Linked DNA regions of Struthio camelus. The protein of the gene in region 1 interacts with the protein of each later gene in a pairwise test. Links are inferred from orthologs where the notes say so. Each region holds a gene or a part of one and is shown on either strand. Other genes may lie near its edges.

What was found.
Region 2: the proteins of BEND7 (region 1) and EAF2 interact in binary tests that used the Homo sapiens proteins (3 or more experiments, as listed by UniProt). The two-hybrid records come from large-scale screens. The link is inferred for Struthio camelus from reciprocal best matches to the Homo sapiens genes BEND7 and EAF2.

The regions. Positions count from the first base shown.
Region 1 is NC_090942.1:7,978,611-7,986,271, reverse strand, and holds the start of BEND7 (BEN domain-containing protein 7), read left to right. Parts: upstream 1-4,175; 5' UTR 4,176-4,413; coding exon 4,414-4,474; intron 4,475-7,661.
Region 2 is NC_090947.1:33,111,057-33,119,196, forward strand, and holds the start of EAF2 (ELL-associated factor 2), read left to right. Parts: upstream 1-4,622; 5' UTR 4,623-4,745; coding exon 4,746-4,848; intron 4,849-7,737; coding exon 7,738-7,832; intron 7,833-8,140. Other genes in the region: IQCB1 (IQ calmodulin-binding motif-containing protein 1), read right to left, coding at 972-1,101, 2,668-2,830, 3,670-3,787. UniProt on the Homo sapiens protein: Acts as a transcriptional transactivator of TCEA1 elongation activity. Acts as a transcriptional transactivator of ELL and ELL2 elongation activities. Potent inducer of apoptosis in prostatic and non-prostatic cell lines.

The DNA.
Region 1 (7,661 bases):
CCCAGAACCCTACCTCTGTAATGAGCCAGTCCCCAGATATGTCAGCATGAAAGCTCTACGAAAAGGAAAGTTTGCAGTAAGACAGTATGGCATCAAAGTGACCTATCATCAAATTGGGAGCCGACAAAAGGTACTGCCTATGTATTTTGTGTGACCACAAAAACACCATGGGAAACCTACAAGAGAAAAAATTGTTACCACAGCTTATAAAACCCTCAGCTACATTCATTAAACATAACTAGCCGAAATAGCTAACATATTAACCCATCACCTATGCAACTCTTGATCTCTCCTTTACCCCTTCACCCTTCTCCTGCTTTCTAATACCACACAGAACTCCTTCAACCTCCAAAATGAGTAGTAATCCTAGAGCTATTAATATGACAGTTGGTAGCCCCTTCTTGCTTCTCCTAACCTCACGTGGATTCCTTGACGTATTAGACCTAATACCTGAAATCACGAAGTTTGTAAGACTTCTTTAAGTACAGTTTTTCCAATTGAAAGCTGAAGAAGTTCATAATTCCCCCATACCATTCTTCTCAGCTCTAGGATTCGTCCCTCTTGTTTGTCCTACACTATCCTACCTTCCTAATAACAATTAAAATATTGTAACTAACTCAACCCAGCCATTTTGAGGATAAGCCTGGGAGCAAAGAAAAGGAGTCTGAGACTTCCTGATGTGAAGAGCACTGTTCTCATTAATACTTGTAATTTGCTTGTATTACTAGATTAATTATATTTAATTGTTTAGCTACTGATCTAGCACCTGAAATAAACTAAGCATTTTACACACCAGAAAATTATCTGAGAAATTAATGTTGGTTAGAAGCAGGGGGGAAATGATTTTCAAAGTAACTTATGACATAATAAAACAGTAACTAGAAAATAGTCAGGGATAATCATGCAGACTTGGAATATATTGCAAGATAAGGCGTCCATTTAGTTAGTTAATTTCATGGTGTTTTGAAAAACACATTATTTAATTAATGTTTTCATTGAGGGAATACTTTGTGGCTATTCATGAATATATACAAAATGCTGTGAATTTTCCATGTTTCCATCAGAAAAAAAAAAAAGGAACTGTCGTTTCTTAATATATAATAATAATAACAATCCAATATTGAGACATTAACTGAAATAAAAGACGAAATTAAAAGCTGACTGCCCTTTGGAGCCAGTGTACTTTATCATAAGTCATTTGGCTGCCACGGAGACGTAGCTATTGAATATGCAGGATGAAACAAGGCAGCCATTCTAATGGAATAAAGACGACTTTTATCTCTGGGTCTCCAGCTAGAATAATGTGATGGTGGCCTGTGATAAACGAGCAGATGATATGAGTCCAGTTGTAGGACACTAACCCCAACGCACCCCCAAAAAGAGGCTCGCAACTTACTGTCTCTGGGGACTATATGAACCTTTGAATTCTTGAAGTACTTTTTCTAAGTCATGGCTGAAAAACATTAGCAGTTCAGGATGGAAAGGTTGTTTTTCAGCTGCCAGATCCTCCTACATGCTCTATGGATAACTAGAAGACTTTGACCTAAAGTCACCTTGTCCTAGTTTCTAATTCACTTTTATGCAGATGAGATTACAGGATCAGGGCCTAGGTATCCAAACTGGCAAATACTGTCAGAAATGAAAATCACAGGATTTACTCATCTGAGCTACCACACTAAGTTTTCTTTGCAGGATCAGGCTCATCCTATAGAATGAAAAGAGTGAATCTCTCTCTTTTGTCAAATGCACAAGAAGCAAAATGAGCGATACTGATAAAAAAAGGATGTGCTAACCCTTGTAAAATGTTTCTTGAAACGACAGTATGTACTGTTTTCAGCCTGAAATGCCATTCTCAAACCATGAGTGTCCCTTTAAGCAAAAAATATACGACTAGGAAGGAAGAACTAAGAGAAAGAAGAGAGCAGTTAATGAAACACTGGCCTCACTTTTTTTTTTTTTCATAAATTATATCCCAAAATGTTTTACAAAATCAAATAACAGGAGGAAAACAGAAAAGATTTTTTTATTTTTGTAGCACATTTCTTTGGCAAATGCAGGATAAAGCCTATCATGTGAATTGAACAGTAAATGAAGGCCTTATGCTTTATAAAATTATCCTATTGTCCCAATAAGGATGACAGTTAAACACAACAGTTTCAGCAGTTTCAAGTCTCGTAAATAAAATTAGCAGATTAGAATCAGCAGACTCTTTGGCAAAAAAATGTAAATACTTTTTTTTGTACACAAAACTAATGCACGCTACTGTTGCATTTCAGACCTGACTTCTCTGTATCATAGCAGAGATTAACTGGACCCAAATAATTTAGCAAACAGTGTATGACATCTACCTACCTTTGCTGCTTCAGCAACCACCCAAAAATATATAATGTAGGATTTTAAATAGTATGTTAGCCCAGTTTCCTTATAAAAGTCTTACAGTGAAGTTTAGAAAAATTCCAAAAGTAGCGTATTGATTGCCTCTGGGATTTTCCACTCAGCAATTTAATAGAAAATTACACCCTTACCCAATCTATGAGGTTTCCATAACCTCCCTTATGAATTTAATTTTCCTGGGTCTAATAAATTTTACCATTAGGCATGTTTTCTGAGATCGCTTCACCATTAAGCCTATTTCCTGGTTGCTTTTTTGGAACCGGGTCTACTTTCTGCTGGGTGTTTGGGCACCACCTCGCCCAAGAGAATTCAGGTCTGACTGGAGTCTATATTGATACAAATAATTACTGTTAATAGGCAATTTATTTTCTACTTACGAATTTTATTTCCTTATTCCTAGCGATGGGCTCAGGCAGTAATACCAAAGCCAGCGGCATTTTCCTATGGGCTTTGATTAGACCATGTACAAATACGCACTTAACTTCTGTTCAAGTAAGCGCGTGCGGATATCCCACACTCTTCTCCTTGTCATAGCCCAGCCTGACTATGTTTAAAACACAAAGTTATGTTTGCACCTGAGCTTTAGGTTATCCGGAGCCTTCCTCTAGCAGCAACGGCCATAGGCGCTGCTGGCTGTAGAGAACCTACAACAGAAACAAATTTAGCACCAACGTAAGTGAAATAAGTGAATCTGAAATACAGCTGAAGGTGCCAAGCGGGGAGTAAAGTAAAGCACTAACTTCAAACCGCTTACGGGCGTCTGTACGGCCACGGTGGACCTCCTAGACGGTGGCCAGAGGTACTAAACGTTACTCGGTCAGCAGAGACTCCCCGCTTTAGGTCGGTGTTTAACCGCCTTGTGTGAAAGCTGCCCCCGGGAGGAGAGCCGCCCCGCGAGCCCCGGCCGGGGTCGGGGTCCGCTCCAGGTCCCCACGAGAGACCGTGCCAGGCCACGTCAGCCGGCACCGAGCTCGAACGACGACGCCGAAACGCCGTCACCGGCGTTCATTTCGCCGCCGCTTAGCCCCCTCCCCGGGCGCGCTCGGTTTGCGCCGCCAACTTGCGCGGCTCCGACTCCGGCTCCGGCTCTGCCCGCCCGAAGCGGCCCGTGCGGGAGGCCGGGGCGCAGCGGGGAGCCGGCGGGAGCCGCCGCCGCCGCCGCCTGGCCAGGCCGCGGGGGCCGGGCGGCGGCGCAGGCCGCGCGCCGAGAGGCCGCCGCTGCTTCGCGGCAGGGCGCCGCGGCGGCCTCCGCCGGCCCGAGGGGGCCCCGCGGGGCGGGCAGGCGACCTGCAGCCGCGGCGGCGGGGCACGGCAGAGGGAGCCTGTGAGGGCGGGGAGGCGGCGGCGGCGGCAGCGGCGGCGGGAGGGGGGGGGGACACAAAATGGCGCTGCCCTGGCAGCCCCTCTCCCGCCAGTCACCCTCCGCCACCCCCGCGGAGGCGCCGCGGGGCCGCCCGCCCTGCCCTGCTCGCCGGCGGGGGGGGGCCCCGCGGCGCTCGCCGCCGCTGTCTCCTCCTCGGCGTGGCGTGGCGTGGCGTGGGGTGGCGGCCTTGCGGCCGGGCTGGCGGAGCCCGCCGCGGGGCGCGCCGCCTTCCCCCAGCAGGTGGCACCGGGGTCCCGGCGGCAGCGGTGAGCCATTGCGGGCCGCCCTTGGCCGCCGGCCGCGCGCCCGGCGGCGGCGGGGGAGGCGGCGGCGGCGGCGGCGCTGGCCGGCATCGCCCCCGCCGCGGCACCCCGCGAAGTTCAGGGGCGGCCTGGGCGGGCGGGCGGGCGGCCGGAGCCGCGGGGAGGCAGCGGCGGCGCCGCCGCCGACTCGTCCCGAGCTCTTCCCCCCCCCCCCCCCCGCCGGTGCGTGCGGCTGGAACCGACATCTCCCGGCGCCCGTTTTGTTTTTTGCTGATTAAAGAGACGGACCTTGGTCCTGCTGCCGCCGCCGCTGGGTGACGGGCTGCGCGGCCGCCCCTCGCCCTCCTCATCCCCGCTCTCCTTCCTTTCTGCCTCCTCCCTCCTGCCCGCACCATGGAGTTTACGGAGAGGAAGAGAAGCAGGAAATCCCAAAGCTTTAAACTGATAAATCAAGGTAAAGTGGCGGCTTCGGGGACGAGCGCCGGGGGGCCCGCGGCGGAGCCTTTGTTTTGTTTGTTTGTGGCTGAAAAAGACTTTTTATATTTTTTTTTTTTTAACCTGAACGGCGCTGGGTTTCGGAGGGGAAGAGCAGGATGTTATGAAATGTGCGTGCTCCCTTCCCTCTCCCTCGGCAATGTCTCTCTCTCCCTCCGTTTATTTATTATTTAACTCCCGAATCGCGGGGTTGAACTCCCCAAAACCTTGCCTTTCTTTTTTTTTTTTTTTGGTGATTTTTTTTTTTAACCGCAACCCCAAAGGTGGACGTGGTGGTTTTTTTTTTTTTTTTCCTACCCCCCCCCCCGGGAGATCTTATACAAATAAAGTTGGATCGTATTTCATTATAAATCCTCCGGGGGGAGGAGGAGGCGGGGGGGGAGAGGAGAGGGAGAAGAGAAAGGCGAAATGAAGAAAACAGCAAAATAATGACACTTGAGCAGCGACGGACCTTTTTAGTATTCAACTCCTGTGGATTTCTTGCGCGTGTGTGTGTGTGTCTGTTGATTTTTCTTTTCCTTTTTTTTCCCCCCCCCTCTCTCTCTCCCACCCTCCTCTGGACTGCGTCCGCACGCCTATCTCAAAGAAGAGCCTAATCGGGGTGGCTTTATTAAAATCCACGCGGCTAATTAATTGTCCGTGGGCGAGGAAGGTTTGCTGGCGTGCAACTTGTTCGCTCGGTGCGCGGCGGCTGGGCGAGAAGAGGATGTTTTAGCGGGGATCGCTAAGGAAAGGTTGGGATTCATGTCGGGGAGGACGCGCAGCCCTCTCAGTCGTGTCCTTTTAAAAGAGGCAGCGGCTGGTAGTCATTTTAGCAGGTGGACTTCCCAGCCCTAGGGTTTTCCTTTTCCCCCCCCCCCTTTTTTTTTCGGGGGGGGGGAGGTTAGGTATTTATCGCTTAGGTCTTTTGCCCTCATTGATTTGCCTGAAGATCTTTTCCCTCCCTCCCCCCCCTTTTGTCTTTTAAAGTATTGAGCTGAAATATCTCCCATGAAATGCTGTGTGTGTCCTGCATGCCAAGTTCAAGGCAGGTGACTACTTTGGTGTCATGTCACACTTATAAAAGGGGGGGGGGAAGGAGGCGAGTTTCGATACTTGCTGGCCGAGGAGCGATTTCTTCCTTAGGTGTTCGGCAAGCTCGCGTGAGACGCGGAGAATTCGAAAGACGAAAATAAACTCGCTTGATGGGAATGACAAATTATTATTTTAACATTGTAGGAGAGTCTTGAGCACTGCATGCGTTACTTCTTAGAAACTAGAGGGATAGCAACTGGTCAGACACGTCCCAAATCTACTGGAGTGCTTATAAGCACAAATGTTGACAAACCTATTGGGGGGGGGGGGGGTTACATTCCTAAAAATAATAGGTTTGGTTTGGAGGGTGTTTTTTATTTTTTTTTTCGTTTTTTTCTTATTTGTTTGTTTGCTTGCTTGTTTGTTTTGGGTTTTTTTTTGCATCAGATGTTCTCCTGAATCACCTTCAATGCAGACTTTGTGCAGCGTTGGGCTGGAGCAGGGGGAAATGTGTGGAAAAGCAAAAGTGAAATTGAAGATTTGGTTTTGTTTTCGTCATGATCGGACTGTAATAAGAACAGCGTGCGCTCTGAAAAATGTATTGGTATTTTGCAAGTGCTCCGTTGCCACTTGTAACGGTATAGTTACCTTGTTATAAAAGGGAAATTGGTTGGAATTGTGTTAGTAAATTATTAGTAATTTATATTTTTCTGGGGTTTCTATTTGGCTGTAGAAATTTAAATAGAAAAGCAGACCAAAAGCAAATCCTGGAGAGCAAATGTGGGTTTTGTACTTTGAGAATGGAGAAGATAAAAATGACATTTTAGCAGAGTCTGCTCTTGCATAGTTTTTTTCCTGCCGTGGTTGATTATAAAGATAATTATGTATAAATAGTTGTTGCTTGTAATTGGCCTTTGCCTCTTGCTGGAGTCATTTAGTAATGTCACAGTTTAGTGTTTACTGTTGTGAAATTGAGATGGATTTCACAGCCCCTGGACTGTGACATCTGAGGCAGAAGAGGGAAACCAAAGAGAAAACAGTATGCTGGGTTTGTTTATTTGTAACACACGGTCTGCTACTGATGTGTGTGAATACAGTGCTTGTTCTGTCCCCCAAAACTTCATGACACCTTATCAACACGGTGAAATTATTTTAACTACGATATACAAAGGAAATCCATTGCTTCAGTAAAATGTAGCTAACTCTGGGATGAAATGGGGTGACTTTAAGATAGCAGTTACAGATCAGAAAATAAGGGTGTTGTGACCTGCTGGATATACAGAGGGAAATGTTAGAGAAGAAACCACACATAAGCAATGCATCTAAGCACCGAGAATCTGTTAGTCGTTTAGTACCTAGCTTCCACATACTCACTTCTACCAGATCTTGGAAGTCCTTACTGAGGATGAAAAGGTAGAGAAAAGCTAGCGATCATTCAATGTGGTGTGCATAAATTCTGTAATTTTTAGTCTTACAAAAGGGGCTTATACTTTCTTGATGTTGTGTCTCAACCTTCACCTTGGCCCTTTCTGCACCGGGCAGCCTATGGATTTCACTTGCCCTCTGTGCTCCATGCAGCACTGAAGCCCCAACTTTATCTTTTGGGCTAGCCCCTCGTTGCTGACCTCTCTACCTTCCCCCCCCCCCTTTTTTTTTTCCATACACAACGATGTTGCTTTCCAGGCCCTTTTATTTCTTTTGCGTTGCTGCGTTATACTTGACTCTGGTTTTCTTCTTGGGCTGTTCTTCCTCCCCACTCTTATATCAACGAGACAGTCATGCCGTACAAATAAATAATACGTACCCAAAAAGTTGGACTGCCAGGAGACCTCTACAATTCTGCAGCTGATCGTTTTATCAGAGATGCAGGTGTGTTTCCCATGCGAGCAGAAGCTGCTTACATTGCTCTTCACTTCTGTTGTGCCTTTAAGTGAATCCCTCCAAATGCTCTTCCATGTGTTAATTAATCTCCACCTCGCTTTCTGTGAGGCAGGTAAATATAAAAAGCCAGTTTACAGAGGGAGTAATGGAGATAGTCAGGACCTGGGAGGGCTTAAGCATTAAAGCAGTTAGGTGATGAGGTAGGTAGCTCTTTTAAGACACCGATTATATTGTTCAATCTTGAGTGATTT
Region 2 (8,140 bases), on another chromosome or scaffold:
AATTACATATTGCAGGTAAGACTCAAGTCTCCTGGGATGTCATTCAGGAAGTCTGCTTCTTAAGCACTACATGCACTTTAAAAGTATTGAACTAACGGAAAGAATGCCATTTAATGATTTTTTCTGAGAAGTGATTACATTTGTGGCACCCAGCATTAAACGCTATAGAAAAGCTTTGACTAAATGCAAGAAATCAGTAAACCAAAAAAAGAGACACTAAGGGGAAATAAGGGAAAAAAGGAAATTAAACCAATCTCATAGATTCTGACATTTTCTTTATTTCAATTATTCTGAAATCTTTTTGCTGATTCTGGACCTCTGATTGCTTCAAATGCATGAGGAAACTTAGAGAAAGTGCTTATATCTACTAATTTGCAAAGCCTCTCTTTGGGGTTCCCAACAATTCAGAATCGGTGAACAATTTCAGATTTTTTTGCCAATTTCACTGCAGAAATTATACGGCAAAACAGATTTCAACATCTCTGACTTAGAGTCTACTGCCTTAAGATGTCCTAAACTGTACTTTCTTTTTTGTAAAGTTCAGTAAAGCATTAAGAATACAGCAACTGCAAAGACTGAAGTAACTATATGCAAAGTTAAAAAAAAAAAACACTATGATGATTGGGAGGCTCCCTTTTGGTAAGGCATTCTTCTTCTATCTTACTCTTCTAATTCTTCTATCCGACTTATAATTGCTCTTTTTTGCCCTTTTAAAAACAACCTACAAGTAGTAGCCAAACACTCTAAACAAACGTATGGTAATAAACTAGTTTTATACTCATAATAGACTGAATGCTCCAAGACGACACATTTCAGTTTCTAAGCTCCACGATATAAGACAAATTTTTGTAATTTCTGGAAAATAAAATTTCATCATACAGTATACCTAGAATAATATCCTACTCATAGAATATAAAAGCTTGGGAAATTTACAGAGGTACTTTGCTCCTTTAACTATGAAATTTAAATACCTTGATTGCTCGGATAAATCGTGCTTGCAGGCGTCTTCCCAAAAACAGCAGGTTGTCTATAGCTAAAGGAAGAAATTTCTTGTAAAATTCCTCAGGATCTTCTTTCACCTCTAGTCCCACACAACAATGACTGAAATGAGAAACACAATCCAACCTGAATAGTCCATGGCCTGTCTGAACAGCTTTGAATGAATGTCATGTCATCACAGAAGAAATGCTTGACTGGAATGAGATAATTTAGCACTGAACAACAGTTAACTGCTGTGACTAACTCCAAGGTAGCTGCCTTAGAAGGAAGAGGAATCACTGTGAGGCTGGAGACTGCAAGGATATTACTACTTACTACAGCATGCCAAGTCACTTTCCCCTTTAGTGTCACAGGACCTGTGCAGGTCTGTTCAGCATGTTAGTTAGGGGCTCTGATGGTCATCAGGAAAAAGAGTAAAATAGAAAGGCAGACATAAACCTGATAAAGTGGATGCAGACCAGGCAATGAAAATATGTATAAAAAAAATCTTCAGTGATTCTGCCTATAACTTTCCTCTACTTGAGGAATACATGTGGGCTAGAAATCAGTTCCTCAGATCTGAGTTTTATTATTTTACCTACTACAAGCATATTGGTCATTTCTGGAAGACAGTTCACAAGAAACTGCTCTGCAAGTTTCACAGTTGGGAGTTTTTTCACTCTACTCTGCACTGACACTTGTGCAACAAAAGAGTTTTCATAACTTTTCATGGATTTTGTTTTCTGACATATTATCTGAGCTGTGTTAGCTTGTTGTGAATGTGTAAATGTAGAGCTTTGCTTACTGAAGCCCTTGGAAAACAAATTCTAGGCAGAGGAAGCTGAGATTCCTGTAGTTGCAAAAGGATATTTTTGCAACTAAAATAAATTTCGTTTTTCTCTGCAAATTGAAATAGCTTACAAGAGATGCTTTAAGTATCATACGGCCCTGGTGATAAATCTTGTATTTCTTAGTGAAATTCCTAGCACTACAAATTTGTATTGCAGATATGGTATAAATACAAGATGGCTGTTTAATTTTGTCATGTCTTAGAACGTTGCTCCCTAGTTAACCCAAAATCAAGTACAACTTGGGGAAAACTTAAAAGTTAATTATTTTTCCTGACATTTAAAACTGAGATTAGATCATGGGATTCAAGTTAAAGTTGCCGTATTTGCTAGCTATGAATTAAACTACATTATGATCTTCTTAATTAAACCACTACATCAAGCTATCCGGTCTGTATTAATTGTATCCACTATTACATTTAAAATTTAAATAGATATGTTTACTCAAGCCAAGCTATGAGTTAATCAGGCTGAAGATTTTTACAAATGAATTTTAAATAACCAATTTTTTAAATAACTGCCCTTCAAAATTAGCAATTACTCAGCAAATATTGTGACATAGAAGAGTTCTGTTCACAAAAAAGGGTAAACCCAACACATACTGGTGCCACCAAACAGTTTGCACAGCTCAGTGCAACACAATGGAAACGAATTAAGCAGGACCAATTAGGCTGTGCCTGACCCCTTTGCTCTTGACTGCTCCCTGCACTTTAACCCTGGCCTTTCCTGAACAGCAAGCCTTGTTCTGGATGTGAGCCAATGCATTACAGCTTGAAAAGAAAAAGAGTAAGATGAAGGCCCAGAAGAAACAAGAAGAAAACTTCGGAGTAATTTTTCTTACCTTAGTATCTCTGCTAGCTGGGCAGCAGTAGTCCAGCCTCCCTGTAGTCGAGAATAGTCTTGTCTAAGGACCAGCATGCAGTACTGAGTAAGATCATAATAGTATATTTCTTGCTTAATTTTTTTTGATTCTTTACATCCCAAGGAAGCACTATTTAAAATTGCTGTGGGAAGAAAGCAGGAAAATGGCTAGGAGGAGCATATGAGTCTGACAAAACAATGCATTTTTTTTTTCAAAACATAAGATAATATGTGTACACACACTAGGATCAATGTAATTCTAAAAGTGGTAACATAAAACATTTCATCAGCATTTTTCACTCCTATGGCTACAATGTATTTGTTAAATTATATGACAATTAGGAAGGACAACCAAGTTTAGATTTCCATTTTCTCATTATACATTCAAGTAGTAAAACATACATTATCTGGGATGTATCCCACTCGTATGAATTTCCTAGGCCAAGTAAAACCACAATGAAAAGCCACTGTGAAACGTATAACCTCCTCGTAATTACATCCCCATTTAGAACAGGACCTAACTTGTTGCTACCGTTTCTATGGGCAGCGGATATGCGTCCAAGGGGAGGGTATGGGGACTCACGCAGGAGCTTGTGATTGTGTTTCTGCATTAAGACTTAAAAATTGCTTACTAACAATCACTCTCAGCCCCTCTGGCTCTCTACCCAAAAGCACTGGGAGAAATTATTTAACCAAGCATGAGATCCTTGCCACATTAGCACAGGCCTTACAAAAATGGTGACAACGGAGAGCGACAGAAGAGCTGCCTCCATTCCCTCTCCCTCTCATCCTCCCTTGTGCTCCCAAGCCAAATGCTACTCAGGTACAACTGTCAGGAGAAGCTATATTACCAAGCCTATGGAATTTCCAGCCCTGCTAGATATGTGGGGAAAAAACTTTCTGAATTTAACCAGACAGAAGGAAAAAAGCCTATCCATACTTCACTATCTCATCCTTTTATTTTAGAAAAGGTATTAATTACCCTTTAACTGCAGAAGCAACACCGGGACGTCCTCATCTTTGCTCTCGGTGACCTGAGCAGCCAAGGCCAGCACCCTGGGGTCCGCGGCTGCCGGCCTCGCGCTGGGTGCGTTGGCCATAGCAGGCCGAGAGGGGCCCACAACACCAGCAGCACAAGCCCAGCTCACTTTTTAATTGTTTCTGCGTAGGTTTGGGGTTCCACCACACCACCAGCCGCTGCACCACCAGCTTGGAGCTCGAGTGCTGCGAGTCTGCCCCCGAGGAAGGGGACACGCCGGGGAGAGGGGGGGCTGCTCTACCGGCCTCGGGGGGGGGGCTTGCCCCTCCCCAGTACCAGTCAGAAAGCCCCCGCGGGGCGCGGACGCCACGAGTGGGGCTGGAGCCGCGGAAGGCCCCAGCTGCCCCTGCCGTGCAGGCCCGGAGGGGCCCCTCCGCGGCCGCCCCTCGGCCCGGCCGGCAGCGGCGCCTCAGAGCCGCTCCCTCCCCCTCCACCCCCAAAACGCGCGAGGCTTCGGGGCCGTGCCACGGCCGCTCTAACGGCCGCGCGGGGCCGCTCCCACTTCGGCCGCGCGAAGGGGGGGGAGGGGGAAAGGGGAGAATGGGATGGCCGGTCCTAAAGAGGCGGTGCCGCTTCCAACCTCCACCCCGTCCTCTCCCCGCTGGTGGTCGCGGCCGCTCTCCACCAATCAGGGCGCACCCTTGAGGGAGGAGGGATTATTTGCATATCCGCCTGAGGGCTCGCCCCTCCAACCGTCCCACTCGTGGAAATCTACAGAGGGCCGCCTCGAGGCCCGAGCCCAGTCCGAGCCCGCGCCGCTGGTGACGAAGCTCTTGAAGGGGAGGAGCTCCGCCCGCGGCAGCTTGTGAGGGCTCGGGTGGGCGGGGCCTTCCCCAAGAGGCCGCCACGCCCCTTTCTCGACCCGGGGCGGGGGCAGGGAGCGAACGGCCAGTGGGGGGGGCTGGGGGGCGTGGCCGGGCGACGCTAAGGCCCCGCCCCCCGCGGCGCCGAGGGATGTTCCGTGGCGGCGGCGGCCGGGCCGGTGCTCGCCATGGTCTGAGGCGTGCGGCGGCGCCGCGATGAACGGGGCGGCCCCGCCGCTCTTCGACCCCAAGGAGCGAGTGCTGAAGCTGGGCGAGAGCTTCGAGAAGCAGCCGCGCTGCGCCTTCCACACCGTCCGCTGTGAGCGGGGCGGGGGGGGCGCCGGGGCGAGCCGAGCCAGGCCAGGCCGGGGCGGCCCCTCCTCCCTCGCCTCACGGGGACCGTTGGTCCCGGGAGACCGTTGCTCCCGGCATCGCCCGTCCGGCCCCGGTGTCGAGGGGGCGGTGGTCCGGGCACGGCCCGGCAGCAAAGGGGCCGGAGGGTGGCCGCGGCCCGGCGGAGGGGTTGGGGCGGGCCCGGGAAGCCGGCGCTGAGGCTGAGGAGGCGGCGGCGGAGGGTGGTGTTGGCCCCCGGGGGAGGAGGGCTGCGGGGCGGCCATCCGGCGGCGCCGGGTGCGGTGAAACTCCGGTGTTTGTCTGTGTTGTGGTGCCGGCGCTGGGGCCCGCTGAGGTAGGCGTTGTGCAGCCGAGCAGGAGGAAACGCTTTCCCTCGAGGAGCTTATCTTTTAAGTAGACAGGTTGTACCGGGAGTGCGGCAGAAGTGGGCAGCTGAAATACAAGAGAGCTGTAGCTAAGGCCCAGAAAGCTGAAGTGACTCGCCCGAGTTTATCTGCAGGCCCTGAGGCACACCTGGGAGCAGAGTCCCTGCTGCTTAGGTCTTAGTCCAGGGTCCTGAGCAGTGCGGTGCTGCTCAGGTTTCTGTTGCTCCAGAGGGCCCTGGAGCTAGACCAGCAAGCAAGCGTGTTGCTGGTGAGGTGTACTGCTGTGGTGTGCAAATACTGTTCCTCACTTCTTTCAGGGCACCAACTTGTTATGCTTCTTTTTGCACCTGCAATGGTGCCTTGATGCAGTTCTGCCCAAAACTGAATGGGGCTGAAGCTCTGGCTTTGTGCTATTCCCTTGTGCTTAGTTTTCAGGCACTCAGTAGAAATCCAGCAATCAAAGGTTAAAGGCAGTATTAATCACAAAGCTAGAATACCCTCCCTGAGTACATAATTATTATCTAGGGAGGTGTGTGCTCAAAGATTCTGAGGGTAGCTAGGAAACAAATGCTCTTAGGATTATAGTTCTGGTAATTTAGAACTGCTGCTTCTGTTTTTGATGTCTCATTATTTATAGACTGATCTCCAAGGTTCAGTCTCCTGTATATTCTCTGGATAACGTCCTGTATGCTCTCATACAGTGCAGTGAGATGGGTAATGTGCTTTCTGTGAGCAAACACAAATGGCGCTCGGCAGAATGGTCTGCAACTGTGGGAGGGAAGGGAAGGGGCAAAAGCTATAAGTGGGTTTAAACAAATGTGGTAACTTGAAATTTACCCTATTTCAAAGAGGACTAAAATCTCTTTGGATACCTCCTACCCTTAAGATTTCTTGCTGACTCTTGTAATCTGATGATTTATTCTGAAACCTGTTTTGAAATCTCTCTTTTAGGCCAACAAATGAGACAGAAACTGGCACATCTGTCAGTGCTGTCAAAGGCACATACATAAATATCTTTCTCGAACACCTGAGTCTTTTGTTACAGATGAGTGAAGAGGCAGACATCTGCTGGTTAAAAGTTAAGATTTGAAGTGCACATGTGGACACTGAAATCGGTATTTCAGTTTTCTAAAGTTTTGACCACCTGGTGGCTATATTTAAAGGCAAAGATCTTCTCTATTTCCCTATGAGAAACTCCAACTGTCTTATGCTTATCCTTGTAAGACCCTGTTTCGGGTTTTGTCTTCAACATTAGGTTAGTGTGGGCTGTTACCAGTGTCCTAAGCTCAAACCATTTTGCTACGTGCATATTCCTTGCCACCAGCTCTGGAAGGTTGTTTTTTTTGACCAGCTGGTGTATTAGTTGGAGCTGTGCTTCCTAAGCTGTGGTCTGTGCCAACTGGCCAGTGGGTTACAAGCAGGATTGTTTAACTGGGAAGCTCCCCAGTTGTAACAGAGGGCTGCAGCCTGGGACCAGCAGCGCATGGAGCGACAGGTTGTGTGGCAGAGAGTGTGCTGTGCTGCAGCTGGGGACGGCGCTGTCTATGGGTTCCCTTTACATGCCTAGTTCCTCTGTGTCTCTCCAGCTGTAGCAGGTTGTCTCTCCAGCATGCTACTCAAGGTACTCCTAGTCGTCCTCTGGTGTGACTGGCCCTGTGCCAGCTTGCTGGAACCACGTTTCAAACGTATTTTACGATGCCTGGCAAAGCCTCTTGATGCTGTCTTACCCTTGCCTAGCTCTGTGCATGCTGGTCTTTCATAACCTAATTCTTCTGTAGTGGAAGTAATACCTCAGAGGTAGTGATATGTTACGTAGTTACAATGCTGGTGCTGGAATGGATGTTCGTTTTTCGTGTCTCAGATTTCTGAAAAGGACCAGAAACTGATCTCTTCTTTTGTTTAAAGCTTATTTTAAGGGATACTTTAGATGTTGAAAAAGATTTTAAAAAAAGGAAATGAATATTTATTTGGGGAGTAATTACAGTATTATTATTTTGGTCAAAAAATGGAACAGAAGTCTTGGTAGGCTTCTGATGTGCCTATTATAGTAATCTGCAATGGATGCTGTAGTCAAATATTGGGGATCCATGTTGTGCTTTGCATTTTCAGTTACTTTTCTACATCTTCCATGTTTGGACTGAAATTATATCAAGAATTGTTTCTTGTTTTTCTGAAACTAGTAATGTGAGGGTTTTCTGTCTTTTAAGTGTAACACAACTAGTTCAGTCTCCTTATCCATTAAAAGCTAAAAGTGCTTTTTTAGTTTTTACCAGAAGATGTTAACACTTAGACTGGATATTGACTTTGAACTCTACTGATTTGTGGAATAATCTGATCTAGGGGATGGTAGATAATATGCTAGCGAAAAAAAGCTATAACTTAATAGCCGTCAACTTCACAGCTTTGATGTTATCCAAAATGTGCTGGTGTTTAAAAGATCCCTGAAAAGCCTGTAGATAATCCAGTTGTGTTTTTTTTTTTTTTTTAAGATGACTTTAAGCCGGCATCTATTGATACATCCTGTGAAGGAGACCTTGAAGTTGGCAAAGGTGAACAGGTGACAATAACACTGCCAAATATTGAGGTGAGTTAGCTGGCTGAAGAGTAGTTGGCATAAGGAAATGACTTATTTTGTTGTTATAAGGATATATTCAATACAGAAGGGCATGAAGTTTCAGTGCTGTTTCAGAGCTGCCTTTGTAATCTTTAAAGTATATAAAAGCAATTGCTCTAAAAATTTGAAATTACAAAAGATTTAAATGTTAAACAATTGTGCTGTGACTTTAAATGTATTCACTGTATTGGAAATATGCTGTAGGATGACCCTGGAGTGTTGTGTACATAGAAAAGCTCCATGTGGATGTTGGCAGTGCAAGTTTTCCCTTGGTATTT